Linked DNA regions of Caenorhabditis elegans. The protein of the gene in region 1 purifies or fractionates together with the protein of each later gene. This does not show direct contact. Each region holds a gene or a part of one and is shown in the gene's direction. Other genes may lie near its edges.

Region 1 (9,505 bases):
CGAGCAATTTTCAACGAACGCAATCTCCTAGTCACTTATCAACCAAGAGCCCTCACCCATGGACATCTCTTTGTGGTATTTGCATGATTCAACGAAGTTTTAGTCTTAAGATTCATGATTTCAGCCAGATCCGCCGACGCCTTGTCGTCTGTCCATTACACCATGTGAATCGGGAAGTGACACGGAGTTCAAGAATGCACGGGATGCTCATTACAAAGATGAATTTCATAGAGCGATTAAAATGGCAAACGAACGACTAGTAATTCGACAAGAGGTTCAAATATTATTTATTTACATTTTTAATACTGGAAATGCTTTCAGAGTACCCAAATCATGAGAATGGAATTCAATACTGATACAAGCTCGCCACCAACATCTCCGGACAAGTCAGAAAAATCACCCGAATTCTTCTAAGATTGACTTCAATAAAATTATTATTTTTCGTTTTGTTGTTAGATATACCATTTTAAACAGTTTCGGTCTGAAAATATCGGAATGTTGGTCTTCTTCTTTCATTCTTATTTACTATTTCAGGCGAGAAATCATGCACCAAAATAACGGAGATTATCGGGTAAATAATAATAAATGTTTACTAAAAGCTACAGTACTTTTGCATCCTTCAAGGGAGGTGCATTCATGCGGAAGAGTCTCGCAGCGAAAACGCGATAGCGCTTACTGTAGAATTTCAGTTTGGAAGATTCGAGTTTTTTGGGCCTCCATTTTTCCTTCTTTTATTGAATTTTCTCAGTTTCTTCGGCAAGGTTCATTAAGTACAGTTAGCCATCAATTTTTCTATTATTATGTTCATTCTGAATGAATGCACACGCTTTCGAAAAGAGATAAGAACATTTATTTCAATTACTCTGCAGGAAGGTAGAATCAATGCAAGTGAAAGCGCGCGAAACATGTGTTTTCAAAATCTATGACGAAATCTCTATGTTCTAGGTGTGGAAACCCGCAGTTTCTTTTAAACAAAAGTTAATATTGTTGTTTTATTAACACCCCCTTTGAAATTTAACTCGGTCTACCCATTTTCCTACACGACTTTGCTTCTTTTTGTTAATTTTTCTGATTTTTTAGCATTCAAGAGAGCCAGTTAACATTTTTAAAACTATTTGGTATCTATAGTTTTTTCCAAACAAATATTCTCATCGTGTAAAAAATTTTCTCATTGAATTCTAAAGCTTTGATGTTTTTCAGGTCAGAGGATCTCGTCCATCGAGAAGTTCTGAGCACGCCGGCCCTTCTCTCCACTGCAAGAAGCCCGAAGGTTCCATTAGAGATACTCTTCGACTGTCTGGCAGCTTCAAAATCTACAAAGAGCCTATGCCGGAACTGGTATGTGACATACACTTGGAAAAGCTTGCGGAAAACATCCAAAAGTATTCGAAAATCGAAGAAAGGAAATACAGAGAAAACGATATGCATGTGAATGACGATTCACATAGTTCCGATAGTAGACCCACATCGGATAATGAAGTTAGCTCGAGCTCTGACAGAAATAACGATGAACCAAGTGTGCGGAGAAAGAGAAAATCCGTCGAGAATATGTGTCATGAACGAGAGCACCACGGGGATCATTTACAGATGCAAGTAGCTTCAGTGATTGCATCGAACCTGGGACCCATGGTGGAGATTGTGGAAAAGAAGCTCTTGCAACACAAAAATGCGGAAAAACTTTTGGTAAGCAACTGGAGTAAACTTGATTACTGAATATTTCTTTTTCAGAACGATGGCCGGGAAGTTTTCATTAAAACGTTGGAGGAACATAATCAGAAAAAAGGTATTGTGATAATAATAACATTTATTTGTCTCTGTAATAGCTATAGTGGGTGTCAGATGCTTTACATATTTTTGATTAATTTCTTTAAAGGCTCATTGTAGGGAGACACTTTTATTTTGATGATAGGAACTTTTCACAGCACATGTGCCTTCCATGTAGCTTTAAAAAATATGTTTCCACTGATATATAATCTTCCGCACTTTTTTATCTAAAAATAATTTCAGAAAAGGTTGAAAGAAAGGCGAAGCTCGTAGCAATACCACCAATGAAAGCTAGAAACAGGAGGTCTTCACGCAATAGCTTGGTGTACATAGATGGTCCTTCTACTTCTGAAAGTCATTCTTCAATGGTTCAACAAGTTCCCATCATCGACAACATTCCCGAAGTGCTCGAAAATGAGACAGCTGTCTGTTCCATTTCTAGTGAAGCAGATCATAATTCGAGAGGAATCAAAGATAATCAAGAATTTGCAATTGAAATCAGTGGGGAAGTGTCTCGAACCGACGACATTTGTGATGACTTTGCCGTGTTCCTCAAAAAATGCACAGTACTATTGACGAAATTTATTGACTCCTACTATGATTTCCGTTCAACTATGAAACTTAAGCCAGAAGATGCCATTGAGCACTGGAGTGCTGAACGTTTGACCAAAGAGGAACACGCCGCGAGGGTCACAAGATTTGATGTGGCGATCGCTAGAGCGACACGTGTGCAGTATAACATCGATATCAAGCTTCTAACAAAGCAAAGTTTTGTGTTTGACGATGATCGTGAAGCTGCCATTAATAAGAGGCTCGCCCGAATCGAGCGTTTTGTGAACGAACAACATGAAGAAATCAATTGGTTTTGTTTTTCAAATTTTTCACTCATGGATATTGGAGAAACGAAGGATAGATATTGTCTCGGCGATTTTTATGACAAGGTATTACAACTTTTAAAATGTAAAATGGCCACGAAATACTGAATTTGATAACGAGACTGTTTCAAAAATTAATTTTTTTTTTTTTGAAGTCTTGTTGTAAAATTCGGTTTTTAGGGTCATTTTAACTATTGAAACAACACAAAAGTTTGATATATAATGTGTATTTTTTTCGCAGGCTATCAGTATGATTCCAAAAGTGAAAGATGTCCCGAGTGTGGTGCAACTGGCGAAAGAGTGTAAGATGTGGTCCGCATTTGAACGAATTCTCAAGCAATACAATTTTGAGCCGCTGAAAGTTTTTGAAGAATTGCAAAAAATGCTTGAAAAGGTACATTTCAGTTGTTCTGTTCGAATTTAAATGTTTACATAAAATTAATTTTCAGGATTATTTTCTACCGAAAGGTAAGATCTTCTGCCAATTCTTGCTCAATGTCGCCCAACTGTTTTCCTATGATGTCGTTAAGAATGAATGGTCTTGCATCAAACAAATCGACGGGACGTTGTTTTCGGGAGTCCCATTTGATCGCGATGGAAGTGAGTTGGCTGAAAATTATTGAAAAAAAATTAGAAAATTACATTTTTCATCTGAAAAATTGGAAAGTTAGTCTGAAATTCTGAAATATCACAAAAGAAATGCGAAAACGATAAATTTAAAAAAAATTAAAAATCCAAATTAAAAAAAAAACCGAAAACTTCAGATAATCATAATAATCTATGTATTTTTCAGATCTACTCCCCACTTCTCAAAATTCGCCGACCGAATGCTCTTCTTGATTGTGTCATTTTTCTCATTTTTCCATGTAACACATCTAATCATTTCATTTTCATCTTACCATTTTCATATTTTAAACTTGCTGCACAATACATTTTTCCTTTTAAAAATCGTTTTTTTTTTCAGTCTTTTTTGGTTTGAAGCCAACAGTTATTTATTTACTTTTAAACAATTATTTCAAGTGTAATTGTTTTGCTTTTCAGGATCAATGGAGCATCGTGAATATGTTAAGAACAACATGCCATTGATCGGAATTGGCACGTGGCAGGTATTGACTTCGAATAAATCAATTTTTTGACTAAAAAATAAATTTAAGGTTCAAAAAGAAGAAATTCTTCGTCAAGTGATTGATGCAGGTTTCAAAGAAGGATATCGATTCATTGATACGGCACAAGTCTATAACAATGAAGCTAAAATTGGTAGAATCTTGGAAAAATTGCTTCCAGCAAATGGGTTGAAGAGGTAGGTTTTAAAAAATTTATAATTGTTTCTAAATCTTTTTTTAATCCTGCGAGAAAAAACTGGTTTTGGTGTTTCTTTGATTTGAAACCCATTTTCTCTAATTTTCAGCAAATTGTTTCGCTAAAAATGTTTAAATTGAAAAATGAAAAAAAATTCGACAAATTATATTCTAAACCAATAATCAAAGCAAACATTTAAAAAAATTTAAACTAGGTTATTCATTCAATATTATGTAATTCAAATATAGTTCAGCCACTTTTAATCTACAAAATTGAGAAATAATTTTTAAAAATTCAATAAAACCACAGAGCCACCAATTGAAGCTATCTTTTTTTCAGAGAAGACATCTGGATCACGTCAAAGTTAGCCCCATCTAATGCTGGCGTTAAGAAAGCTCGGGAAAGCATTGAGGAGTCACTGAGCAATCTTAAAGTCGAATATTTGGATCTTTTGCTCATTCACTGGCCTGGAAGTTCCCTGAAAAGCGAAAATCCGGCAAACAAGAAACTGAGAGTGGAAAGTTGGAACGTTATGTGTGAAATGATGGCTGAAGGAAAATTGCGTTCAGTTGGGGTCTCTAATTTTGAGATTTGTCATTTGGAAGAATTGAAAAAAGATTCTAATGTTGTCCCAGCAGTCAATCAAGTTGAGTATCATCCTCATTTCCATCAGGACGATCTGGTCAAATACTGTAACGAAAATAACATTCATTTCCAGGTGGGATTTTTCTAAATCTCGCTCTCTTGAAGTTTTTTTCAGGCGTACAGTAGCCTTGGCAGCCCAACATATCGTAAACAATTATCCGAAGAACCTCTGATCAAAGAACTTGCTCAAAAGTACAATGTCGAGATTCCTGTGCTCCTTCTTGGATTTGCTTATTGCCAGGGAATTAGCGTACTTCCGAGAACTACAAATCCAGAGCATGTTGCTACCAATTTTAAAGTTACTAAGCTGGCGGTCTGTTTCTAGATGGTTTTTAGTCCTAATGTCTAAAATTGGGATTTACAGATTACTCAAGAAGACATCGATCGTTTATTGGCTTTGACTGTCGAACACAAAACTTGCTGGGATCCTCGCGTAGTGGTTTGATTTCCAAAATCATTTATCATTATAAATTTAAAGCTACAAATAATCCTCTATATTCTAAATAGATGTATAAATTTTAAATGCCGAGTTATTATTTCTTGTTGTTGAAAGATCTCGTGATTGAGTCGTATATGGAAATTTTGAGCTGTCATCGAATATTTAATCTTCTTTCTTCGCTTTCGCGCCTTTTTTCTCCTTCTGCTCATTGTACAAATTGAGAAGATCGAATGCAAGAACACAGTTCTCTTCACTGAACACAAATGGAACAGCACGACGACTATCGTTGACTAGTGGACGACGAGCGATTTCCTTTGCGTCCCTAGAAATTACAGATTGGTTGAAAATTAAAATAAAGCTTAAATCTTACTTGAATACACAAATAGTTGGTAACTGTCGTGACATTGGATGAGCATTCACACGGAACCGCTCGCCTTCTTTTGCCCATCTTCCAATATCCAATTTCCCAAACTTCATGTTTGGAAGTGTGAACTTTTGACTCAATTCCGCAAAAACGGGTGAAGTATGTCTGCATTCTGGGCTCCATGTTGTGAAGAATTGAATAACCCAGATGGTATTTCGATTTCTGGTAAGTTCTTCGAAAAGCTGTTCACCTTGGAAATATGTCACTTGCTCTGGACCGTTGTACACGGGTTCAGGGAAAAGAACAGTAACGACTGAAAATTTTAATAATTATTAAGGAGATCGAGAGAAAAACTCACTTAAGCAGGCTAAAATATAGATGATTCCAGGCAGAATATCGGCACGAATGAAAAGGAACATGCCGGCGATCTTTGAGAATAAAAATATATTGTTGACGTAGTGCATCCAATTCGTCGCTTTTCGTCCTTTCCATGCCAGAATTATCAGAAGAAACATGAGAATCTCACGCTCGCGCTGAAATTTCAGTGTTCAGTTGCTTCAAAAAAAAAATAAATTCTTAATCTAACCGAATCAATCTCGCATTGCTCATTTCCTTCAACTGCAAACACATAATCACATAAAGATGTTGATCGAATCACTGGGAACGCCAGCGCTAAAAGAGTGTTGAAGAAGTGAAAAGCGGTCAGTGCTCGACGAACTTCATCGAGACGAGGTATCAGCATTCTGTTGTCTGCATAATAAAATTATAGAAAAATCAATAATTCGAGTGTTTAAAAGTATGTTGAACAGGTTGGAATAGTTTTAGCTAAAAAGTGTAATTTTAATCTTGACAATTATGTAAAATTTAAATTTAATTTTTCTTCTACCGATTTTATGAGAAAGTAATAAAGTATAAAAGTATAAAATGTTCACTGGAACATGAAACTTGTCGCCGGAGAGCAAAAAGAAAACCGAAAAATGTTCTCGTTGCTCCGATGGCCGAGCTTCCAAACAACTATTCATTTCTAGGCCACTGAAACAAAATGTTAAAAGTTTCAAACTAAACTACGTTTTCTTAATTTTTATTGTTATATTATAAGTAGACGAATACCGACTTTCAAATAGCATAAAGCTTTTCTGTTGAAAATCGTTTTTCTAGGGCCTGAATGAGTAATGAAAGTATTTGAAATGGAGTTGGAAGAGTTTTTATACTTTCTAGGCCAGGAGATGTTTCTGTTATTTTTCGGGATTTAAACATTTATTTAATTACTTTTAAATACTAATTTATAATTAAATTTTTTGTTCAGAATGCTGGGTTCAAGTCGAAACATTTTCCGACGCCTAGCTACATCGTCTCGAGTTCTTTCCAATGCGAACAAAAAGACAGTAGAAGATATGACGCAAGAGATGTTGCAAGTAAATCTCTGAGTAAATATATTAAAGGCAAAAGAAAATTTCAGATGCCAGTCTCAAGAGTTCCTCCAACTATTCAACGATTCGCGACATCTCTAAAAATGAAATTCAAGTCCGACGGTCTTGATCAATCAGTGAAATCTATTCTTGACCGCGCATCAGCTCAACTTTATTACAATTGTGCAGATAATTATGATTTCGCAAAGCTCTGTGAGGCATTTGGACTTGGAGATTATATGTCTTCGTGGTAAGCTTTCACCTTTAGTTTTTTAACCATTATTACTCCAAAACTTCAGGTACAAGTTGACACTAATGCATACATGGATGGTATTGATGAGACTTCATTCAGAATTTGATGGAAAAGCATACATGAGATTACAGCGAGGTCTTTTATCAACAATGTGGCTGGATATTGATAATAGGTAAAAAAATAAATTTCAGAGAATACTTTGAATATATATTTTCAGGCTAGGAATTGTGAGCAAAGAGTTGAATCAAATTATGACGGGGCAAAATGATATGAAGCACATGCACGGATTACATTTGCAGACGTTTTTCGAATATGACGAGGTTTGCTTAAACACACAATGCGGAAAATTCGTTTACAAAAAGCTATTCTAGGGATTCCTCCACGATGACCGTGTTCTTGCTGGTGCCATTTGGAGATGCTTATACATGAATCGAGAAGTTGATCCAATTCATTTGCTGAAAGTTGTGACATATATGAGATCTACAGTTGCTTGGTTGGAAACACAGGATACGAATCAAATTCTTGTTGAAGGAATTTCCGAATGGAAACAACTCCGGCCCTCCACTTGATTTTTTCCTTTTATTTCAGTCTTCAACAGTTTTATTTAGTTTTTAGATTCGATGTTTTTTACTCCGTTCATTTTTTTCCTCTCATTGTTTATACGCGTGTTTCTCTCCACTCTTTCCCTCGAAATTTTTGCAATAAATATCTGAATTTCAGATCCATCAAAAATGGCAGCAAAGCGGCCTCCAGCCTCGACTCTGAAGTGGTGTCAACAGGAAATGGGACCAATTTGTGAAGGAATCGGGATGGTCGTGAGAAGTCAAATTGGGTATGATGGACGGAGAATTGAGAAACAGATAAGACGAAAAGCATTGCAGACGGTTGTTATGGGAGGACAAGATGTTGACCCATTGAAGGTATGATTTAAATTTTCGAAATTTTGATTATTCTTTGAAAAATGATATACTTACTCCAAAATGTGTATTTTGAGTATTTATAAATATATACACTGAACCAAAAAGATAAAATTTTAATTTTCAATGATTTTCTTTTTATTCTGTTTTTCAACATTTCCCTAATTTCCATATTTCAGGAACCAAACAAAACCAATGCTCCACTGCTTTCCCCAACTCTTCCTTCAACAAACGAAGCTCTGCAAAGAGCAAGAGTGGTTGCTGCTGGAATTGAAACATTCGCCAAACTGATGTCTCAAGGCACTTATCCTGGATCAGCTGGCTTCACTGTTTCGGAAACAGGCGAGAGAAAATATATGAAACAAACGTCTCCAGTTCAATCGAATATCGTTGCGAATCTAATGGCAACTGCTGACAAATTGAGCAAAGGAGTTATTTCTCTGGCACCATTTCCCCTTCCTACAATCACTAAGCTAGGAACATGGGTGATTGCAAATCCCACAGCACAACTGCCGATTCCACCACAGCTCAAATCTGCTATCCCAGCAATAGGACAGATTGAAACTTTGATTCAGTCTATTTTGGGAGTTCAAGGACCAGTCAGTTCTGTTTCTAGAGCTCCACGAAAGTTAAAGTTAGAAGGTGTAACTGATCAAGTTGTGTTGGAACCTGAAACAATACACGGTAATTTTCAGAAATATTCAATCTTATAACCTTATTTATTTATAGCAACTGTCGATGTTGAACCAATTGACAAAACATTAACAAAAGAAGAAGCAGAATTTCTCATCAAAGCAGCAAGATCTGTTGATGACGACAACGCTGAGACAGCAATCTTTGGAACTCAGAAGGCAAAACCAAAAGTCTACCGACCAGAGCTTCCAAAAAACTTTGAAGTTAATCTAGAAATGGGAAATGTACATACATTGACACGAAGTAATGAGAGCTCAGTGCCAGCAACTCGTATCGGAAGACTTGCTACTTTTGGTCAATTAGCATTCGGTCTTCTAGGTGGAGCAACAGCAGAAGTCACTAGAAGAACATTTGGAATTGGAAAGAGGTTACAAGAAGAAGGAATTCCAAAGAATCCATTCCTTTCAGAAGCCAATGCTGATCGTATTGTTGCCACATTGTGCAGGGTAAGTTTCTTTAAATGGGATAAGAACTTTTGGTTATTTTCTTAAATAGAATTTAAATGACTCCAAAACGGCCGTATTGTTGAGTTTGGCAATTTTTTGATTTTCTTGTCGAAATTTTGGCCTGCCATAAAATTTTTTGGTTTTTTTTTTGGAAATATTTGAGAAGTATAGTTGAGGAAAAAAAAACAAAAAAGATATAAATTATCTCAAAATAAAACAATTTCAGGTTCGTGGAGCTGCTCTTAAACTAGGACAAATGCTCTCAATTCAAGACTCATCTACAGTACCCCCAGCACTTCTTCAAATCTTCGAACGAGTTCGTCAATCAGCTGATTTTATGCCAATTAAGCAGGTTCATCGTCAAATGAAAGACGCTTTTGGTGATGATTGGAGAGAGAAAT
Region 2 (13,369 bases), on another chromosome or scaffold:
CTGATTTTACTACCAATTCAAGTGATAAAATATGAAAAACATTACTTTCTATCTAATTCTGTTTTGATATTTTTTTTCATGTTCAGAATATGGTAGCAAACAGATTTGTGAGGAAGATTTTTTCGGCACCTTTACAGAATTCCATGTTTCTCCATGTTGTGTCAAAGCTTTTCTTTAAAAATTTATACAGCAATATAGAAAAATATTTGAACTTTTCGATGAAAATTTTAATTTTAATTCGATTTGGATATTGATATTTGGGACGGTCTTACTATTAGAGCAACTTTTCAAAACTCTCCACTTATATAGCTGAATAAATTGGGCTTTCGAATCTCTTTACTGTTCGGGAAATAGATTGCACGTTTCAGAACTAGTCAGTTATCTGAAATTCCTCTGAATTGTTTTTTTTTCTGTCAATTTGTGTACCTTGCTAACATTATTTTAGGATCGATTAATTTTGGCGTTCCCTATTATTTCCTATTTTTATGACATTGATCGGTTTAATATTTCCTTCATTGACCTCGAAAGTTGTTGCATTGGTAAACATGTGTACATTTTCTCTCCTCTTTTTTCAATTTTACCCGCTTATCAGCAACTGATAGGCGCGACGTCGCAAAAGACAGGAATATTTCGAATTTTCGATCCCTGCATTTTTTTTTCTAACACATTTTTTCGGAGTGTGGGTATTGCATTGATTTGGAAATTCATGTTTTAGTAAACCTCCAACCTTTTTTCAGTACATTTTTCACTGACTATAAAGTATGTAGATATTATGTGAACAATGTTCAGGAGAAATTTTTCAAAAAAGTTGGCCGAGAACACATATTTTTCAAGGACAGGTTCAATGCAATTCTACAGGTCTTGAAATTAGTGGATTTTTTTCAAATTAATTTGTCAGAATTTGTCAGAATTTCTAATTTCTAAACCATATGATTTTTTTTAAATTTTCAATAAAAAACTGTCAATCTTCAAATTAATTTCAAATTCCAAAATTAGTGTCATTCCCACTGAGTGATCTGTGTATAGAAGTGTTAAACAAACGATTGAAACGTTTTTCCCTCTTCCGATTATTTTCTAGTGTGCCTAGACGAAAAGACAACTATTTTATATAACCAGAGCGCTGGGTAAACTTTGTGTTTGTCAAATGACATTTTCTCTCTCTCTTTTCTAAATTTACAAAAATGTGCGAGAAAGAGAGAGAGAGAGAGGGGGGGGAGAGAGAAATATAGATAAAAAGAACGGTGTGTTGAAAAAAGATGAAACCTGTTGCCAAAGGGCGCCCATTTGGTCGTCAAGTGTTGATGAGACGAAGAAAAATGATGACGATGTGCTATGTTTGGCCACCTTTCTCATCAAGCCTTTTGTTCCAGAAATGTACTTTTACAATCATTCACTTTTTGAAATTACTTTTTCTGGAGATTTTTGGAGAGCTAGGAAATTTGAACTCTCAAAACTTTACATTATGTAATTAAGGAATTTGTTTGTTTTTTAAAAAGATATTGTGAGTCGTTTTGATACGCCGAGACTGGGGGCGCTTCTCCTCGCCTCTTCACTCGCCCAACTCGCGCCCGAACTTTTAACTCATGTGAACCTTGTGTTGTATTGTGTTCATATTTTATTTGCATAAAAATCAGTAACGTGAAATTAAAATTAAATAATGCGGTTCAAGAATCTAAAAAAAAACACGAACGTATTAACTGACTTAGGATTGAGATCATCCTCGGTTTTGTTAATTTCATTTGCTCCGATTTTCATGAGATTTGTTGCATGACGTATTCATGCAGCTATTTTCTTGTTTTTCCCTTCAAACTGCTAATTTTTTTTTAAATTCAATCAGAAATTTTTGCAATAGGTTCGCTATTTTTGAATCGGAATTTTTGTCCCTTTTCAAAATTAATTGTGTATTTTTCTTTTTCTTTTTTTTTGATAGATACAAATTTTCAAATAGTAGTTTTCTAGTTTGCGGGCATATATTTTCCAAAATCAGAAGCTTGTAGGAACTTGTATGATTCATGATTTGTTGTGACCTTGGTCTATAATTCATGAATAATATTATTATTATTTTGTTCTTGTTCTGCCATAATAATCACATTTCCCAAACACTTGATTTTTCAAAATCCTTTTTTGTGCTCAATCGTAATTACTGATCCTGCTTTTTCACTCATTTCTCTAATCTTTATATTTCATTTCTCCAAAAAATGTGTCTGAGTCTCTACTATAAACCATTAATCTCTCACTATTCTTTTTCTTTTCGTTTCTCTCTTCAATGCCATTGAAGCGGGGAAAAACCGACGACGACACACACCACACACACACAAACAACACATTGCATAGGCTATATCAAAAAATTATTAAAAATGTTCTTTTTTTTTTGATTCTTATAAAATATTTGTGATTCTTTCCCATGTAAAATTCCGTTTGAACTTAATTAGTGTTATCTAAAATGGTCTCTGATCTTTGATAGTGTCTCTTCAAAAAGAGGGTTGTACGGCAAATGTTCTCTTTTCGATATGGTTGTTTTAGATAAAAAATTAATATAATGTAGAATAATATTTAGTCAATTTGAACACAATTCTTGTTTTGATTGAATTTTTTTAAAAGTATCTAAAGACTGAAAGTTAGTCACTGCTGAAAAAATGGGTCAAAGTTTTGGCAAGTTTCGGTAGTTGGGCTCTATTTCAAACAAAATTTAGGATTATTTCCAGAGAGTTTTCGAATTTTTCAAATTGCTTTTGCTTTCATAAGTTTGCTTATTGCAGAGAAATCAGCAATTTTGTAGATTTTCCGCACACCCTAAATATCAGGTTCGACAAATTTTAAATGTTCTATTTTCAGCAACACGTTTGGATCAATTCTTCATCTCTCATTTGAACAAAAAATTTATTTTTCATCCTAAAATCTAATTTCAACAAAATAACTATCGTTTTTTTCCTTCCAGATGAATTACTAATTTCACTCTAGTTTTTGCAGAATTTTTGCACTTTCAGTTAATTCATTCATATTAAATTGATCTCTATAATTGCAAATGTCATTTTCTAATCATAATCCCATTAATTTCTGAAACTTGATTACGTAGAATGCATAAACTTTAAGTTGGCAGTCCAAATACACATGCAAATGTAAATTCGACCCTTTCTCGCCCATCTGCATTTTTCATTTGAGGTCATTTTACTTTTGTGACCAACTTTGTGTTCTCTGTGGTCTTTTACTCTTTTTTCGTGATGATAATTATAGTTATAGCAAAAAAAACAATTATTGTGACAAGCTGTGTCCAACGTTTTTCATAAATGTTCCTATAACTTTTGCTCCTGGGGTTCGGAAAGTAATCAAATATTTTTAAATATGATTTGTGTGTGAACTCTAGAAAACTTTTAAATTATGCTGTCAGATGCAGAATTTTCATTGACTAGCAAAAACACAAGTCGAATGCAAACTTGATTTTAACTCTAAAAAATAGTATGAAGAATTTTTTCTATTCACTTTTCCATCGTGGGTGCAAAACGGCAAAACAACCAAGATGTGGGCGGAACCATTACACCCTTTTAAAAAATAAAACTAATTTTGGTGAATATTTTAAAATAGATTCGAAAATATTTTGAAAAATACAAAACATTAAAAGATAAATGTATTACTTTTCTGAAAAAATTCCGATGAAAACAACTAATGAACTTGTTTTCATTTTGAGCTTTTCAGTTTCAAGTATTAAGATTTGAAATTCCTAGTTTTAATTTCTGGCCAGTGAACTTTTCTTTCATATTTCGTTTGATGTTTAGTGTATCACTGGTTTTTTTGCAAAATGTTTATTTCTAATTGATTTGAGTTTCTTTAAAAGCAGAAGTGATTAATTTAGGTTATTTTAAAAGCTTCAAGATATTTATTCTTAATATTTATCGCTAGAAACTAAATTTATACAGGCCCCATCATTCCTCTCGTTAATATTTTGTTGATTAGCTTGGTTAGTTTTCTCTTCGTTAGACGAATTCCCCAAATCTAGGTACCTAGAAGCAGTAGAAGTGTTGTTTTGATATTTCCTGTTTATATCTTCCATTTCTCTTACTTCTCACTCTTCTCATTCCTCTAACTTCTGCTTGTTGTGTTCTTGTGTTCCATTTGATTCTGCTCTTGCTCACCGGAGCCACGGCAGCAAATGCAACAAAAGAAAGGAAGAAAAAACGAAGCACACACGCAAAACACATGGCATATTTTCACTTTTGCATCGTTGTCTCTTTCTCTTTCCTTCTTCATCTTCCTTCTTCTTGCTTATGGCTCATGACACCACACCACTTGTGCTCTCTTGGCAGGAAAGCCTGAGCTCACAACTTCTTCAAGTTTTCAGAATATTGTTGGATGGAGAGAAAAGGGAAAGGGGATTTCTGAAAATGATCGGAGGTGAATAGAGTTGGTCAACAAATCTTTCTTTCTCTAGAAGACTTTTCATTTTGTTTTTTATTCTGTTTGCTATGTTGTCCTCTTTTTTGTGCTGTGCTTCTTCTTTTTCTTCCTCTCCTTCTTGTTCTCAACCTTCCAAGCGGTAATGGATTTCTCGTTTTCATTTCCTTTTCTGCAAGATTCATGTGATAATTTCTGTTTTTCCATGTCTCTTTTTTTCGCAGTCTTCATTCCAAATTTTGTATAATCTTCTGATTTCTTTTATTAAAGCCTAAGATCTCAAAACTTAAAACTCAAGATCTTCCTAATGACTTTGTCTTGTGAAATTCTATTATTTGTCATCATTCTCTTGATACTCAGTTATTAGAACTCTTATAGTTAGCCAATTTGTGAGTCATCCTCTAAACATGAATAAATTTGAAAATATTGTCATAATTTCGAAGTTTTCATGGATTTATTTAGATTAATCTTTTAAAGATTGAAAATATTTTGACAAGCTCCTTTAAGTTCGAATTTCAGAAGAATGCAAAATTACTTTTTTTTTGGAAAATTAAACAACTACTAGATTTAGTTTTGAAAACTAATATGTAAATTATTAGATCTGCAAAAATTGAGTTTGTTTTTTCAATATTTTGTTTTCACTCTATTCTCTTCTGCTCAGTCGATTTCACTTATAACCTTGTTATGCCTACGTGCATATTTGCAAAACCTCATTTCGTGCAATTTTTATTTTTCAGGTGATTAAACCCGAAGAACACAAAAAATAGGCAGAAGGCATACATATATAGAAAAAATGGAAGATATATTGATGCCTGAAGGAGAGAAAGTTTCCATGGAGAACTTTGCTCTCCTCAGAGTTCTTGGAAAAGGAGCATATGGAAAAGTATTCCTTGTGCGAAAAGTTGGTGGAAAGGATCATAATACTATATATGCTATGAAAGTGTTGAGAAAGACCAGAGTGAGTTATTTTTGGAAAAGAAATGAATTTAAAAATAATAATTTCTCATTTATACGGTGCTGAACCTTTGTATTATTATTTGTTTTTTCATCTCTCGCCAAGAGCGAAAAAACCGACAATTGCCGGAATTCATATTCTTGAAATGGTTTTGAACTTTTCGAAACAAATAACTGGATTGAAAAATTTTTGAGAGATGGGAAAGTGAGGTGAAATAAAGTTTATAGATTAGTATTTTAATATGAAACGAAAAAAAAACAAATTTGATTGCAGGTGCTCACAAAACAAAAAACCCTGGAGCACACAATGGCAGAGCGTCAAGTACTTGAACGTCTACGTGGAACACCATTTCTTGTCAATTTGTTCTATGCTTTCCAAACTGATACCAAATTGCACATTGTAATGGAATATGTGAGAGGAGGAGAATTATTCACACATCTTTGCTCGAGAGGTCATTTTGATTTAGAAGCTGCTAGATTTGTAATTGCTGAACTTGTGGTTGCAATTGATAGTCTTCATCAAAGAAAAGTTATTTATCGAGATTTGAAGCTTGAGAATATTTTATTGGACGAAGAAGGACACGTTAAGTTGACAGATTTTGGATTAAGTAAATTGTTTCTACCCGGAGAGTTGGATAGAGCCAATTCATATTGTGGAACTATTGAATATATGTGAGTTTTGAAATTTCCAGCCAAAGTTTAGGCACACTGCCAAACGTATTTGGAATTAAAAAAAAAAAGAACTTATCAAACCTCAGAATTATTTGCATGTCAATAATTTAAACATGATTAGAATATACAATTCGTAGTTTTTGATGTAGTTCCAAAATTAGGATTAACAAAAACTGGGTAATTGCTACTTTTTGGTTGTATATTAAAAGGTATCATTTTTTGTTGAAAATTATTGATCATTGATATTTGATTATTGAGCTATTGAATTTTTTCATTGAGATTTTCATATAATTCTTTACAAACGAAAATTGGCACAGACGGCTGTGTAAAAGTAATTTCTGAATAGATAAGAAATAAATTCTCAAGTTTAATGATTCCAGGTCGCCAGAAGTAATCAATCGCCCTGAAGGAGGATACAGTGATGTTGTCGATTGGTGGTCTTTGGGTGTAATTTCATTTGAATTGCTCACTGGATGCTCACCATTTACTGTAGATGGAGCACAAAACTCTAGTAAAGATATTGCCAAGTAAATCATTTCCTCATTTTCTTTATAATTTCTTCGAGTTTTAGACGAATTATGACAAAGAAGGTCCCTTTCCCAAAAACTATGGATGTTGATGCTCGCGATTTCATCGGCCAATTGTTGGAAAAGAAACTTGAAAAACGTCTCGGATACAATGGAGTTGATGAAATTAAAAATCATAAATTTATGTCAAGTATTGACTGGGATGCAGCTGTTAAGCGTACATTGAAGCCAGTGATTGTTCCAAGAATTGGACATGATTTGGATACACAGTTCTTCTCAGCTGAATTCACTTCTCAGCCACCATTATATTCTCCTGCAGAGTCACCATTAAATGCTAATACTCTGTTTAGAGTGAGTTTTTTCTTAACTTGGCAGGCACCGATTGCCGGATTTTGAGCCGAATTCCGAAATATGTTTGACAAAAATAAATTTCCAGAAGAAATTATGTGATTACAGGGATACTCATATGTCTCCCCATCTGTTATATTTGCCAATGACAATGTTATCGGTGAAGAACTAATGGCTGAAGATGTCAATGCACTTCTCGCGAGTTCTTCATTTTTTGCCAAGTACAAACTAGACAAGTCGGACGCTGGTCTTTTAGGAAAAGGAGCTTTTTCGGTGGTCAGGTAAATTTTTATATTTTCATCAACATTTCATGTGCTGGAACTATTTTCTAGATTCGAAAATCTCGAAAAAGTTCAACAAAACGTTATTTTTACATAGTTTTAAAGATAAAATATACAAATTCAGACGATGCGAACGCGTAGTTGACGGAGCCCAGTTTGCAGTCAAAATCGTATCACAAAAGTTCGCAAGTCAGGCTCAACGTGAAGCACGAATTCTTGAAATGGTTCAAGGACATCCGAATATTGTTCAACTTCATGATGTACATTCGGATCCTCTTCATTTTTATCTCGTCATGGAGATTCTGACTGGAAATGAGCTGCTCGAGAGAATTCGAAAATTGGAACGATTTACAGAGGTTAGAATTCTTTTAAGCATTTCTTTAATTCGGAGTTACTCTGAAAATTAAATTTTTAGAGTGAAGCAGCAGACATCATGCGGCAGTTGGTATCAGCTGTGAAATATCTTCATGATAAAAGAATTGTTCATCGAGATTTGAAACCAGAGGTGAGTTTCAATGATCAGATTATGTTAAGTGGCTGCAAAATAATACAAAACATAAGAATAAAATACTTCCAAAAAGTGAAACAAATTAATAATTAAAGGTGGAGTATACTCGAGTAGTTAGAAAATTATGACGCAATTTTTAAAAAAACGGGCACAGTTATTCTTATTCCAGAATATTCTATTTGAAAGTATCGATTCAAGTGCCCGCCTTCGTCTAGTCGATTTTGGATTTGCACGTCTACTTCCAAATTCAATGGAACAACAACTGAAGTCTGTTCAAGTTCTGCGCAAGATGTACGGTCTCATCGCACACAATCATTCACTCCACTCGGAGTAACATTTAGTCTAGTCAAAAGTTATTGTGTTTTGTCTTTTTTCACTCATTATTGGGCATATTTTTGTTTTTTTTTCTTAACTGGGAGCATGTGTCTCAAGCTGAAAATTTAAAAGAACAAATGTTCGAAAAAAGTTACTTTTGGTAGAGAGGAAGACGGTGGTGTGTGATGTTTCGTGCATTCTTGTTACAGATTATCTTCTTTTTCTATCCTTTTAAACCTTTCTTTTCACTTATCTCTACTAAGGGTTTCTTTCTTGATTTCAGAGATTTTTGAAGAAACACACTCATTCTCTGACTCTCACTTGATTTTCAAGACAAAGCTGTTTACTAACAATTCACAAACACTCACATTAAGTTTCTCAAATTTTCTGTAAACTTGAGAGTTAGAGAATGCCCAATTCATCTTTGAATAACGTTTGTTTTCACTAATAGCTTCTATATATTTGCCTAACTCTCACTATGAAATTCTTCAATCATAATTACAGGACCCCCTGCTTCACACTACAGTATGCTGCTCCAGAAGTTTTAGATGTTGGAGATTCTCAACCAGAATACAACGAACAATGTGATTTATGGTCACTTGGAGTTGTACTGGTTAGTTGTATAATTTTGTAATAATTTAATGTTTCAAAAATCGAAGTAAAAATTTTGAGAAAAAACAAAAAGACCCCTCAAATTTAAGAAACGATTGATAATCGATAAAAATCACGAAATGGAAGCATGCAACTACAGTACCACATCGTGAAAAATTTTTTGGACGCATTGAGAACCCTGGTTATTAGAAATTCATAAGAAATATTTTAAATTGTGTGGCACATTTTCTACGAATAAATTTTTCAGTTCACAATGCTATCGGGTCAAGTTCCATTCCATGCACGTTCTCGTCAAGAATCGGCAACTGAAATAATGCAGAGAATTTGTAGAGCAGAATTCTCATTCACAGGAGACGCATGGACAAACGTGTCAGCAGATGCTAAGAATTTAATAACCGGTCTTCTTACTGTGGATCCAAAGAAACGTCTTTCAATGCAAGAGCTTACAGCTCATATGTGGCTCAAGTCTTCGGCTTCAATGGATACACCACTTCAAACTCCTAGTATTCTGCCATCATCAGCAGGTAGTTAAACTGATGTTATTGAAAATTGAATAACCTAATCTTTTGACTTTTCAGATGAAACATTCAATGAGACACTGCGCGCATTCCTCCACGCTAATCGTGATGGATTCCATCTTCTCGATGTTGCTGCTGCTCCTCTCATGAAACGACGCGGAATCAAAAGACAATCTGGGGACAAGGATGCTTCTGGAAACTCGAAAAAGTGAGTTCAAGAACCCTAATATTTGAAACTCCTCCAATTTGGGGTACGGTTTCAAAGTGCACAAGAAACACCACATTTGACGACATTTCTCTAAAATTTTATTTTTTAGTTTTTAAGTTTGCAAATAATTGTAAATTCCTTATTTTATACTATTTAGAACGTCTATTCAAATATTATATTTATGAAATTATTAATAATAATTATTTTCTAAAAAAATATGATACTTCTAATTTTGATCGCATTGTGAACATTTTCGTTTCTGAAAATATACTTTCATTTTCAACAATTTATGTCATTTTCCAGTTCGCGAGTTACCCAATTCGAGTGTCTTCCGGAAGAACAAGAAGCAGAGATGACATCATCAACATCCCGTCCAAGCAATTTGGGAATGATGAACTATCGAGAACCAAATTCTGGAACAATCCGAGAAACTCGTGGCTCAGACTCCTCCTAGACCTTTTTCTTTGTTTCTTTTAATTTTTCTTCCTTTCTGTTCCTGTTTCTCTCACTGTTTGCGTTGTGATTCTTTCGTCCTAGATGCTTTCTAGTCTGTACTCTCTCATTATTCTCACTATTTTACAAATTTTCCGTCACCTGACACTTGTGGCATTGCCTTCTCTATGAGTACAGTTGCTGAAATGTTCATTGAACCTGTAGTGATTGTCATTTGTTAGATATTTCGCATTTCTAGTCAATCCTCTACCAATTTTGAAAAATATTGTGATTCGTGCATTTCATTTTATGTTATTATATCTAGTCTCATGTAAATTTCTAATTTTTTATAATCATTTTGTTAGATACACATATCTTTATTCATCCACCTATCCCCATGTAATCTTTTCATTGTCTCCAGTGACTCCCTGAACTCTTGAACCATTTCCAGAAATTCTTCCATGTTTTGCGATGAGCATGATTGACTTGCCAATCGACTTTTTGAAAGATTAATAAAATTAAGTAATTCGTTTTACATATTTATTTTGGAGAAGGTTTGAAAGCTCCGAATCATAATATCGATTGAAGCATCAACGTGAAAACCTGATGTAATGTGAGAAAATAAAATATGGAAGTGAAAGCATTTTAGAGAATATTTTTAGCGATAAGAGCTTGGTGAAGACGGTGAAGTGGCAAACCAACCACATTCGGCATACATCCTTCGATTCCACGAACGAAGACAGCGCCAAAGTCACCGATTCCATATGAACCTGCTTTTTTCCTGAAATTTCGATTTACTAGGTCAGTTATTCGTGTTTTTTTATTGGAGTTTTCAAATGTCGTGATGAAAATGATGAAAAACGTGATGAAAATTTTAAAAATCCCTCAAGTTTTGCAGCTCTTTCAAATACTCATAAAATGTTCAAAATTTCTTGACCGCCAATTTTTCTTTCATTTTTATGACTTTAGATAAGAAATTCAATTCCAAAAATTTTGATAACTTTCAATCAATAAATATTTCCATAACTTTTTTTTGCTAAAAAAAACTAACAATGGCTCTCCGCTTTTTACATATTCGTCGATAACTCTATCAGGAATATCTCCAAAATGAACAATTGTTTTCTCGATGATCTCTTCATATTGATCAGTTTCATGATAGTGTAGAGCCATTCCAGTATATACATTATGAGTATTGTTACGAAGTCTGAAATTAATTTATACAATTATGATGTTGAAAATTTAATTACCTTTTCAAAGTTTCTTTAGCGTCATTGGCATCTGTTGGTTTTCCAATAATTTCTCCATTGAATTCGATTACTGTATCACACGCAATAATAACAGAGTACGGCTCCTTAATAATTCATATATTAATATAATATCTCAGTTTTTATAATTTCAATTTTAGATTTTAAAAATATGGTAGCAGGTCTCGATATGCTGCAGCACTCTGAAATTTTGCGCAAAAAGTTTTAGGTCGCGTCGAGAAATGTTGCCGTATTTTTTTTGTTGAATTCCGATTTGTTTTTCAACTAATAACTATATTCTCAAGTTACTGAAAAAATAACTATACCTCTTTTCTTTTCATTTCTTCCACAATAGTCGTCAATTTTCCTTTAGCTGTTTCAATGACAAACTGCTTAACTGGCAATGTTTTTGGTAGATTTTCCTCGAAATTTGAAACTTTTACGATTACATTTTCCAATCCCTGAAACCGAAATAAATCTTTCTTTTTGTAGATTCTCATTTTCTCACAATTTGCTGCAACAATTTGAGTCGATTTGGTGACTGACTTGCCAATACAATAATGGCTTCTTTCATTCCGAACTTGCCGTCGTGGGCGAAACACGTGGATCTGAAATTTCGATCGGCTCTTGTGCTCAGTCAATTATTCACAAAAAGTTGGGGACATCCGGATGTAATTAAACAGTACGTTTTGTTTTAATTGAGAAATTGAGAAACTAATAGATAATTAATTATTGTTATTATTATTTTAGAATGGCAAAATATCGCAGAGATGTCATGTCAAAGAGGCTTGTGATGGATTATGTGAAAGAACTTAATCCCAAAATCGACATTGTGAAGGTAAATTTTAATTTCTCAAAAACATTTTTCAATAATAAATAATTCTCAGAAATATTCAAAAAATGGCGTAACTTCATACGAGGGATTTTTCGCAAGTCCTCATGCCACTCTCTTTCCCAATCATATGCCAGGAAACGTCGGTCGAGCACATTTCAGAGCATATCTTCCTCAGAAACCAGGCCCCGTATGCATACATTTGGCAGGCACCGGAGATCACTCTTATTTTAGGTAAGAAAATTGAAAATTTATTTTAAAAAATACGGTACCTGGTCTCGGCACGACAAATTTTTTTGTACTTTAAAACTCGCTGCAGAGTTTTTAACTTACAGTTTCCTTTAAAGGCGCACACCTTTTTGCATTTAACAAAATTCATCGTGTCGAGACCGGATACCGTATTTTTGTCACAAAGATCGAAAAAGTTTGCGTCTGAATAATACATATTTAATCTAAAAAGAGAAAAAAACTCAAAAACTGAGATAAAAAGTATCGCATCTTACATAGATGCATAAATCGAATAATGATTCTTATCAGAGACCACAAAAATTTCGAAAAAATGCAAAAAAATCAAAACTGGTATCATAGATCACTATTATTTCAGACGTCACTATCTTCTTGTTGATGACATGCTTAAGGATGGTGTGGGATCTATTTTAATTCAAAATCCATTTTATGGAGATCGAAAACCACCGAATCAATTCCGTTCTTCTCTTGAAAATGTGACGGATCTTTTTGTGATGGGTGCCGCTTTAATTGCAGAATGTAATCATCTTTTCAATTGGTCTGAGACACTTGGATATGGTCCATTTGCAATTTCTGGTGTCTCGATGGGTGGATTTATGGCTCAACTTGCTGGATCAAATTCGCAACGTCCAATATCAATAGTTCCTATTCTTGCATGGACGACAGCATCACCATCATATACGGAAGGAGCTATTTCTCCAGCTGTTAATTATTCTTTACTGCAGAAACAGCTCGAAGATCCTCACTATGTTGATAAAATCCGAAGAATTCCGAATCAAAATTGGCTGGATAAAATGCGAGAGATGACTGCGAGAAACGGTGATTCAGAAGCCAAGAATATGATGAGAATTTTGATGGATGACTTCACAAGTCTTGAATTCTATCCAACACCAATAGACACATCACTATGCCATGTATTCTTGGCTGATCAGGATCAATATGTACTGCGAAATCAAGGGACACCAACATATCAACAATTATGGCCTAATGTAACTGTTGAAATGATGGAAGGATATGGACATGTTACAGCATATCTATCGAAACATGATCTTTGGCGTCGAAGAATAACCGAATTGCTCAGACGGCAACAGCAGAAAACAATTTAAAATAATTTGCATTTTTACTAGAATTTTGATTTTCCGTTTCTTCTTGTGATACTAGAACTCCCATAGCCAAATTTGAGATTGTCTCTATTTTGACATTACCGGTTTCTCTTTCTCAGTGTGCCTTTTCATAAAATAGAACTATGTCGGTAATGAACATTTTTCAACCAAATTCTACAA
Region 3 (9,425 bases), on another chromosome or scaffold:
GCTCCTTTTATACATATGCACGTTCGAATTAAAGATTAGTTTTGGACGTATCTAGTTTTTTTCCAAGAAATAAAATGCAGAACATACTCTTTTTAAGAAGGTCATTTGACATAAAACATCTTTGCATACTACCACAACAAGTTCCTAATCCTTCCTTTTCTCCGTCACTCAATAAAGCTCTGAGAGCACTCAAAAATCATCGAACATGTTGGTGAGAAAATGATGAATCAGTTATTAGTGGCGCGAGAACCCTGAAAAATCTTTGAAAAACCGGGATGACCCCAAAATAAGTTGTATTTTCTATTCTGTTCGTCGAACTCTTCTCGTGCTTTATTGAATTTCAGTTCTTTCTCAGAAGCAATTTTGTTGGCTTTGATTTCAACAAACTTAGTCCCGCCCATTTGTTCTTTCAACCACTAATTACATACCACAAAACTGTCTTGATAATTTCTATTTATCACGCAACTCGTTTTTTCTGCCACGTCATCAAGCTGAAGTTCGAGACTTTTGATTGAAGGTTTCAAGATGTTTCAGCTGTTTCCTCATTACTTATCTTGCGTAATACCTAGTCAATTGAGTTTTAAACGGTCCCTGAAAACTTTGAGCATATAATGGGTCTTTTATTTGGCAGGTCGTCTGAAAAATAAGCGGTCTGGGATTTAAGTTCACTTTCTAATCCTTTTGCATCTCTAGCTAATTGTAAGCAAAGAGCTTATAACTGTACAATAATAGTACATTTTTAAGAACTTTTCGAATGTTAATTTTATAAAGTTTCCATATCATCATTTTGAAATAGTATCACGTTTTTCAAAGCAAGTTTCAGACTTGTGCCCCAGTAAAATACAAAATAAAAACAAAGCGATAAATAACTTGTAGTATATTGTTCATAAAAACACCTCATCACTATTTATTATTTCTACCATATCCGCCCTCTGGATATAAAAGAGTACAATTCCACGTCACTAACTATGTATGTTTTATCATGATATAAACTGGGTTTTTATTCCAGTCTGTTCATAATTTTTTTGCCATTTCAAGCTTGTAATAAATTTTCATGAATATAAATTATTATTTTTTAATTCAATTTAATCAATCAACTTTAATGTCATTGTTGGAGCTCATGACAGAAAGAAATCCAGAATATTCTTGTTTTCAATCTAAAAACATTGAAATTTCAATCAAGAAAGTGTTCTGCAATAACATTTTTTTAACTTCGTGCACTTTGCTGGATGCAATTTCCTATCTCATTTCCTCTTGTCTTCAGGTAATCGATGCATTTCCTTTTTTGAGCTTTATAAACTATCTATTTCAGATTTTGGATATATTTTAAAAACTCAAAAATCTTTGAAAACTCTCATTATTCTTGAGAGTTGTTCCACCCAGATTCTCCCTTTTCCGCTCTATTAATACATTTTAATAATGAGAATAAGACGCTTCTTCTTCCTTATTCCTCATTTTCAGTAAATATGTTATAACTCCAACTTCCACTTTTTTGTAGTTTGTCATTTCAAAGTACCTTATGAAAGTTCTTTTTGTCAACTCCAGACAGACAAGTAACGTCAGTTGACTAAATGATACTTTTTGTTTAATTATTGCTTTTCGTTCTGTTTTCATATAAAAATCTTCCGCCTGTGATGGGATGTGTTAGTTGTTTTTGAAAATATTTTGAATAAAGTGGAAATAATGCAAGAGTTCGGAGCACAATAGGTGTGCTCAAAAAATATTTATTCCCGATGCTTCTTTTTTACATGTTTCCTGGTTTTGTAGCTCTCTTGAAAATCAATTTTCTTATTTTCGTTTTTTTTTCTAGGGAAAATGTTTCTTTGCTCGACAAGTGTATATGACATTTCTCCAGCTCTGTAATTACAAAAGATTTCGAAAATTTTCAATCGACAATTTTCAGATTCAATTTCTCGAACAATATGCAATTGACTGGATGGCCCGAATATGTTTCAATGATTTATCTTCCAATAATACTAGTTGGATTAGTTGGAAATGGATTGTCCCTATACGTCTACACAACTCCAAACATGCGAAAGTCAACTGTCGCCTTCTTACTCTACTCACTTTCAATTTGTGACATTTTTGTGCTTCTTTTTGCGCTTCCACTATATAGCATCTCATATTTGCCTATTTGGTTAGTTTGCAATATTTTTTTTAATTGGTTTTAACTATCTTGTTTTCAGGGACAATGTCTATGGTGCTTGGTCAATGCGCCGTATGTTTATTGCATTTTCAACAAAATTCTTCTATCCGTTATGCATGACTGCAAAAACTGCAAGTCTTTATATAATGGTGGTGATTACTGTAGAACGATGGATTGCAGTCTGCCGACCGTTACAGGTAAGTCTTGTGAAGTGAAATTGTCAATAGACAATTGGAAACTATTCACATCAGAATTTTATTTCAAATTATAATCTCAACACAGAAAATCTAATTTGAAAATATTTACAGGTCCACATTTGGTGCACATTCAAAAACTCAGTTAGAATTGTTATAGCCATCATAACATTTTCAATTATTCTGAACTTCCCTAAATTCTTTGAATACCAAATTGGCTATTCGGATGCATTGGGATACTGGCCAAAACGTGGAATTTTGGATGCAGAAGAGCACTGGTGGTACTACATTTCATATTTTATCATCATTTCTGTCATTTTTGACTACCTTCTGCCATTTGTTATAATGTTCATTGCAAACATGAAAGTCATCAATGAACTGAGAAAATCAAGGAAGGAGAGAGCACTTTTGACGACTTCGGTAAATATTTTACACGTTTGTATTCTATTATTATTATATTTCCAGCTTCAAAAAGAGCAAAATACAACTGTGATGTTGTTGGTTGTGACTATTCTCTTTGGATTCTGTCACTTTTTCAGTATGGCTCTCAAATTGTTCGAGAGCATTTTTAAAGATTTTCTCAATCGACACGTACGTTTTTAAAAGATTTAAATAAAATAATCTGAACATGTCATTTCAGAATGAATATTTCGAAGTGATGATTGAAGTATCTAATATTCTCATCGTCATTCATATTGGCACGACATTCTTCATATATTACTTTTTCTCGGCTAGATTCAGGAATATTTTGTGCTATTTGTTCAAGTAAATTTTAAAATCAAAATCTTATTCTTTCAATTAAATATTATTTTAGAAAACGAAGCAACCTTCCGGATAATAGCCTCACAGACTTGAACAAACGGAAGCTTCTTCAAAAATCCGATTCAATATGTACTTCACTGGCAAAAACATCACCAAAAACATCAATGGCATAATAATCTGAAAATAGGATATATAGTAGTCTCCCAATCTCTTGATCTTTTGTTTCTGATATTTCTTTTTTACTTCCTTGGATCTTTTTGTTCCTGCTTGCCATCCTCTTCGGCGTCATAATAATCATTCCGAAAGTTGTTTTCCTATATCTTACGAACGGTTCAATGAAATAAAATGTTGTGAATTTTATTTATGATATGCTAAAAATTAGACGATATATATGGAAACAAACTGTCTGGTTAAGGAAAAGTATGAATATATAATTTTAGCTTTTGAGATAGTGATCTCGGTACAAAAATCAAAAGTTAAAGGTCTAAAGTTCAAACAATCATGCAACTTTCCAAATATACTAACAGAAGCCACATTCTTGGAAACCTCCAGAAAGTGCGAAGCATCCTGCACGTTTTTAATGCATAGTTTAAGGAAAATATTGAAAATGAAGAAGTAAAAACCAAAAGATGGAAAAATTATTTATGAGAATAAAAGAAGGTAATCATGGGAAATTTAGAATCTCAAAAGTTTGTTCCTCGAATGCTTTTGATTACTTCGGAGCAAATGAAAAGAAAAGATGCAATAAATGAAACCAAAAAAATAGGACTTGTGATCTTTAGGAACTAGAATTAAAAAAATAACCAAATGTTAAATATAGATTGGTTTTGATTTGTTCAAAATATCGTAACATGCAATTGTGAATTTTAAAGTTCATCTACTATTTTGAGATAGATGAAATAAAAATTTTAACGGAAAACGATATTTACCGGGAATTATACAAACTGTACTAAATTAACGTGATGAGATTTGCGTTTTTAGGAGGAAGCGGTGGGTGATAAAAATATAATATGCTATGAAAAAAACGTTTATTGTACAGAAATAAATGAAATTTCATTTTTGAATGGGTGAACAGTTGTTTTCATTTTCTTGTAAATTACAAAATAAAATTTTTCTATCATTTGATTCCGCATTTTGTAGTACGCGAATCTTGTAGCTTGTGTATTTTGTGTACGCTATCAGTAAATGATCGAACCTGTGTGTTCAACAGTTGGTCGATATCAGAACTAATATATAAATTGGCTAGACAGAAAAAAAAGGACTCACACTTTCAACTTATTCAGCTAGTTTCGAGATGAAAACTTTATTTGAAATTATTGATAATCCTGATTCATCTAGCCCATTGTGGAAACAATGGAAAAATTTAGTGGACACCGAAGGATGGACATCAGATGACAATTCGGTCACCGAAATGGTTCCATCTCTTCCGACCACGCGAAGTGTTTTTGCAGTTACTAAAACGCGTAAGTTTTCTCTGTTTGATATTAGTTTTAGAAGCACGTGATTTATTATTGCAACAAAAAGATAAGTACTAGTTAACTAGTTTGAAAAAGGACCGATATGTTATCAATTAATACTTTGATTTATTAGAGACATGCAATATGATTTTAGACTAAAATCTTTAACTTTTTATTGTGTTTGTTTTAAACTATTTATTTACAGTTAATTTTGTAAAATGAATAAACTTTGGTGATTTTGGCGGAGAATTTTGTAAAATTGAGAAATTTTTACAGCAGAGCGGAGCATGGTTGGAAGTGTTGTTTGGAACGAGTATGATGATATTTGTTGGTTAGGCTTTTACCTTTTGGCTCCAGAGTATCGTGGAAAGGGCATCGGGTCGATGATCTGGGCTCAAGCAATGTCTCGTATTAGGAAAGACTTGGTTCTTGGCTTAAGAGGAGGTTTCTTTGTATTTTGATTCAACTTTAAAAATAAAATACCGATTTCAGTCGTCAAAATGGCTCCAAAATACAAATCCCGAGATACTCCTGTGGATGGAGCGTTGCTTGAAAATTACCGTTTAACTTCAAATGACTTTTATTCTGCTATGAAAAATTTTCAAGATTTGGGGCTTGTAAGTTGAGAATCGTCGTACTTACAAAAAATGCATATTATATAACAGATTCAAAAACGCGTGAGAGACTTATCTGAAACAGATTGGGAGAAGTTTTTGAAGTACGATAAAAGTGTGAATAGTAGAGATCGTCGAGAGTATTTGGAGATTTATTACAAGAAACTTGATTACACTATTGGAATTGCATTTTTCAATGAATCTGGAGACATAGATGGTGTTATTTCTGCGGTTCCTACTGGTCATCAAGGTACTAGTTTTTTGAATTATTGAGGAATTCAGTTAATGACTTTCAGAAGATAACAATTTCAAAATTTGCCACCTTTACGCAAATTCATCAAACATAGCATTTTACACAATGAAAGTCCTTTCCGAAGTTATGCTCAAAACATATCCTGAAGCTACTCTCATTTTCCATCTTGTTGATACTCCTGAAGGATCCTTCACAGTTCTTCATAAATTTTTCAAAAGCCTCAATTTGAATGCAGGTGTCAGTGGATTAACACTATACAGTGATGTGTATCAGCCCAAAGGAGATCTTGAGAAAGTTTACATTCCATTTAATAGCTCCTGTCATTTTGATTACTGATATTTAGAATATTTCAAATTTGATGATAATCAACTTTTTTTTTCCTTTAAGTTGACATTTATATTCAATAAAATAGCTTTCCAATTTATTACAAACAAGCTGATCTACATGGAGATCTTAATTACAGTCAGAAAAATGAATGTACAAAGTTCCCAGAAACACGAACTAAAAAAGCAAGTATTGTTCTTTTGGCATTGAAGGAGTTGCTGGAGCATTGAGTGGTGTGACAAGTGTAGAAATAAGCTTCGAAAGAGATGATGATTTCTCAACTTGTTGCATATCAAGTACAAGACGATCAGCAACTCGAGAATCTTCCTCACTGAGAACAGTAAGGCCCATCGAATCGAGAAGTTGGTTTACTTCTTCGAGAGTTTTTTTGGAAACCTTCGAATTGGTGAACATCTGAAAGAAAGATCTATGAATCAACGTTTTTGTTTCTTCTGATACCTTTGCAGTCTTTGTCTCATGAATGGGGCTGTACATTTTGACAGACACGTGATTCGAGTGAATTGGAGATTTTTCACCGTTGAGGGAGATGATTGTGGCATTTGGAACAGCTTTAGCGGTATTAATGAAGAGAGAAGATTCATCGGCAGAGCATGCATCGATGATTTGATCAGCAGCTTCAATTTTCGAAATATCGGTTGTCACATTAATCTTCTTGAAGTTCTTGTCAGCGAGTTTTTGTTGTTGCTGAAAGAAATTGCAATTTATTTTCGAGAACTTATTTTCAGGTTTTTATATTAAAAATGAAAACAATATTTCTGAATTCTCACTTACTCTAATATCATCGATGAATTCGAATGGAATCTTTTTCTCAGAGTCCTCTTGCAAGATAGCCTTGATGACACTTGAATCGAATTTCAGAGCATTGACCTTTCCACTTGGTGCAACAAGAGAGACACGTCTCCCGGCAGCGCACACTGTAAATTGTAATTTAAGTATACATTTTCAGAATGACAAACTTACAAAGACCGACGACAGTTTCAGCAAGAACTCCACTTCCAACAACGATTGAAGACATTTTCTGAAATAGAAACAATGAAAGAATATATGGTTAAAATGTGACGTGACCGCAAGAAAACAAAGAAAAAGCACTGAAGAAGAACCAATGGAATGAGAGGAAAAAGGAGCTGTTGCTAATTGAGAGATGGGCTTTGAATCAGCATCCGAATGGGTGAAAATGAGAAAACAACGCCCCCATGAAACTAATGCACTGATGTTTCTTTGTTGAAAAAGAGTAAAGATTTGATTAAGGATTAGAAGGAACGAAATTGGAAAAAAAGAAGGCAAATTGGCAAAAAGATGCATCTAGGCAGCATATACAATGTATTTATATATCAGCTGTCCTCACCCCGCCGGGAACCTCCCACCTCGCATCTTGACCATCTGCGTCTCTTCTTCTCTCCTTGTATTTCTTTTGTTCTCAGTCCCTCTTGGTTTGCAGTTCTTTGCACCCACTTCTCAGAGAGGTCTCGTCGGAACACGTGAACATCATGATCCCCATATGATTCCTGCGTTTCTTTTCTCGCTGTGGTCTTTTTTCGAGACACATTAATATTTTTCTTTGTTTGTATCGGTTTTGATGTGTTTGGTTGTTGGTGTGATAAGCTTGCAAAGCGACTACAAATGGTTCAAACATGTGTCCAATTTTTTTAAAAAGTTTATCTGAGAACCACATGGCCGAATAGAATGCCGAAAACGTGGAATGATAAAACACTGATTATAATTGTATAGGCACGGACCCAGCACTCTCAGTTTGTACAATTTTGTACTGAAATGAGAGAAAATGGGAAAGTTCAAAATGCGAAGCAATTTCTTAGGGAAAATAAACTAGAAAATTCAAGTTTTTTGGAATTTAATTTTAAATTTTCATTTTCAAAATATAAAATTAGCTGGCTAGAAACAATAATCCTTAAAAACGAACCCGGGACTATCTGCGGTCGATTTGTCAGAGAATTTCATTTGCATATGAATGGATGTTTAAGAACACATTTTCACATTTAAAAAAATCTCGCAAGATGAACAATGAATCTTTATACTTGTTTGTTCAAAAGGAAGATGACCGATAGTTCTTTGTTCCGGAGAGCAGTTGAGCGTTCTTTGGCTGAAAAGCATGTGATCAAAAACTCATCGAGTTCATTTATTCAAATATTTTTTTGTGATTTCAACCAAATGCCTCAATGTTTTGGTGTTATTTGAAAATATAATTTGAAAATACATTTTCTTTTATTTTCTCAAAAAATTGTTTTTAAAATATTGAGAAATTTCTTGATTAAATAATTTTCTTTGGAACTACTTGACAGAAAAATCCAACATCGCGTCACAAACTTTTTTCTTCGTAAATTTATATGCAAGGTATGATAACAATTTAGCCGTTTTCAGTTTAGCTGTTTTTGTTCTAAAATTTTCAAAATTCCTAGAATAAGTATTGAAAGCTTTGAACTTTAATCTAAAAATAATAGTGAACTCAAAACAAACCCATTACATTTTCTCTTGAAAAGCCATGTAGAAGTCTATTCTGTTTTAAACCAAGAACGATGCTCTTTTCCAAAGATTTATGTGGAATTTCTTTGGCAATGCTCTTAGGTTTAAGAAAAACAAAAACAGAAATAGAAAACAAGAAAGAATATATATTAAACACTTCTAGAATTTCAATTTTTAGAAAATGATTTTCTTTCAAAGTTATGGGTGTTTAAATTTTGTTTATATTTTCTCTAAAAAGATACAAAAATATTAAAAATATGATAGATCAAAATTTGCAGTTTAAAGAACAATTATTCTCAAGTAAATATTTTGTCGTTGAGACAGAAGTAAACATCTTTTTGCACTAGTTTTAGACCACGTTTTCAATCGTTCTTTGCGCCTGCTCCCTTCAGAGAACACCCAGTCAGCTGGCGCAGAGCGGTGACTATTTCAAATGGACTAACAAAATACTATCACAAAACATTTTATTTTTCAACCAGCACTTGGAGTTAACCGATGAACACGTGAAATTGTCGTCCTCAAAGATTTGAGCATTTGCTGGCATTGACCCGAGTGAAGCATTGAAAGTGACACCTGCCCGACCACCAGATGTCTGCAATTGTTCATTAATACAACTTTTCAAATTTTCAAATGCCACTGAGCTCAAATTCTTACTTATCACCCACAACTTGCAGCACATGAATAATTACTTCAGCTTTGGGAACATATTTTCGATCTAAATCAAAAATCAACTTGTGAGTGAAATGCATTCCGTCATCTGTACAAGCATTTTCCAATCGCCGTCTGTCAAAAATATAAAATATATTATTGAAAAAGTACTGGGATTTGCCTAGTTTCGGAATGATGCCGTTCAAATTGTCTCCCACCAACAAACATGACGCCACGAATGAATATTGCTGAAAAATATTTATGAGAAACGTTTGAAAAATTAAAAAAAAAGCGCCTCCCAAAAACTATTGTTAAAACTCAAAACTATTATTTCAAATTAATGCTTGGTACACTCATTGACCAAATTTGCTTACCACTGCAACTTTCGTCCAATTTCAAGTTTGTCACAGTTGAATAATGCAAGATAAGTCGTTGTGAAGTTGGTAGATATGTCATGTGTAACTCAATTTCTCCAATATCCGGTGTAAATGGAGGGAATGGCAATTCAAATTGTGTGAATTGTGATAT

The links.
Region 2: the proteins of C35D10.6 (region 1) and rskn-2 fractionate together in Caenorhabditis elegans (co-fractionation; one large-scale study listed by BioGRID). This does not show direct contact.
Region 3: the proteins of C35D10.6 (region 1) and F21C10.9 fractionate together in Caenorhabditis elegans (co-fractionation; one large-scale study listed by BioGRID). This does not show direct contact.

The regions. Positions count from the first base shown.
Region 1 is NC_003281.10:4,855,659-4,865,163, forward strand, and holds C35D10.6 (NADP-dependent oxidoreductase domain-containing protein), read left to right. Parts: upstream 1-3,680; 5' UTR 3,681-3,685; coding exon 3,686-3,745; intron 3,746-3,793; coding exon 3,794-3,939; intron 3,940-4,277; coding exon 4,278-4,656; intron 4,657-4,698; coding exon 4,699-4,896; intron 4,897-4,947; coding exon 4,948-5,028; 3' UTR 5,029-5,114; downstream 5,115-9,505. Other genes in the region: C35D10.8 (PH domain-containing protein), read left to right, coding at 1-75, 125-274, 322-414; C35D10.7 (ULP_PROTEASE domain-containing protein), read left to right, coding at 545-571, 1,201-1,683, 1,729-1,783, 2,008-2,705, 2,881-3,033, 3,089-3,239, 3,433-3,479; C35D10.10 (Thioredoxin-related transmembrane protein 2 homolog), read right to left, coding at 5,185-5,344, 5,393-5,699, 5,745-5,919, 5,973-6,128; C35D10.5 (Ubiquinol-cytochrome c chaperone domain-containing protein), read left to right, coding at 6,694-6,801, 6,846-7,045, 7,095-7,220, 7,266-7,368, 7,420-7,617; coq-8 (Atypical kinase coq-8, mitochondrial), read left to right, coding at 7,780-7,968, 8,145-8,649, 8,695-9,104, 9,331-9,505.
Region 2 is NC_003279.8:8,009,286-8,022,654, forward strand, and holds rskn-2 (Ribosomal protein S6 kinase), read left to right. Parts: upstream 1-5,124; 5' UTR 5,125-5,182; coding exon 5,183-5,347; intron 5,348-5,617; coding exon 5,618-6,015; intron 6,016-6,395; coding exon 6,396-6,542; intron 6,543-6,586; coding exon 6,587-6,893; intron 6,894-6,998; coding exon 6,999-7,171; intron 7,172-7,295; coding exon 7,296-7,527; intron 7,528-7,586; coding exon 7,587-7,676; intron 7,677-7,848; coding exon 7,849-7,970; intron 7,971-8,498; coding exon 8,499-8,607; intron 8,608-8,853; coding exon 8,854-9,133; intron 9,134-9,184; coding exon 9,185-9,332; intron 9,333-9,635; coding exon 9,636-9,786; 3' UTR 9,787-10,295; downstream 10,296-13,369. Other genes in the region: dod-18 (Nucleotide PPase), read right to left, coding at 10,410-10,545, 10,816-10,968, 11,012-11,115, 11,335-11,469, 11,517-11,582; C54G4.7 (AB hydrolase-1 domain-containing protein), read left to right, coding at 11,569-11,690, 11,759-11,846, 11,896-12,074, 12,445-13,192. UniProt on the Caenorhabditis elegans protein: Serine/threonine kinase that may play a role in mediating the mitogen- and stress-induced effects on transcription. May repress transcription via phosphorylation of 'Ser-1' of histone H2A. May phosphorylate histone H3.
Region 3 is NC_003283.11:9,093,631-9,103,055, reverse strand, and holds F21C10.9 (N-acetyltransferase domain-containing protein), read left to right. Parts: upstream 1-4,359; 5' UTR 4,360-4,396; coding exon 4,397-4,565; intron 4,566-4,835; coding exon 4,836-5,003; intron 5,004-5,051; coding exon 5,052-5,176; intron 5,177-5,224; coding exon 5,225-5,423; intron 5,424-5,469; coding exon 5,470-5,762; 3' UTR 5,763-5,855; downstream 5,856-9,425. Other genes in the region: frpr-6 (G-protein coupled receptors family 1 profile domain-containing protein), read left to right, coding at 1,923-2,137, 2,187-2,343, 2,455-2,760, 2,806-2,931, 2,981-3,105, 3,155-3,275; F21C10.10 (3-hydroxyacyl-CoA dehydrogenase NAD binding domain-containing protein), read right to left, coding at 5,928-6,164, 6,210-6,455, 6,543-6,685, 6,732-6,786; T27E4.1 (C2 domain-containing protein), read right to left, coding at 8,721-8,841, 8,904-9,032, 9,079-9,145, 9,272-9,425.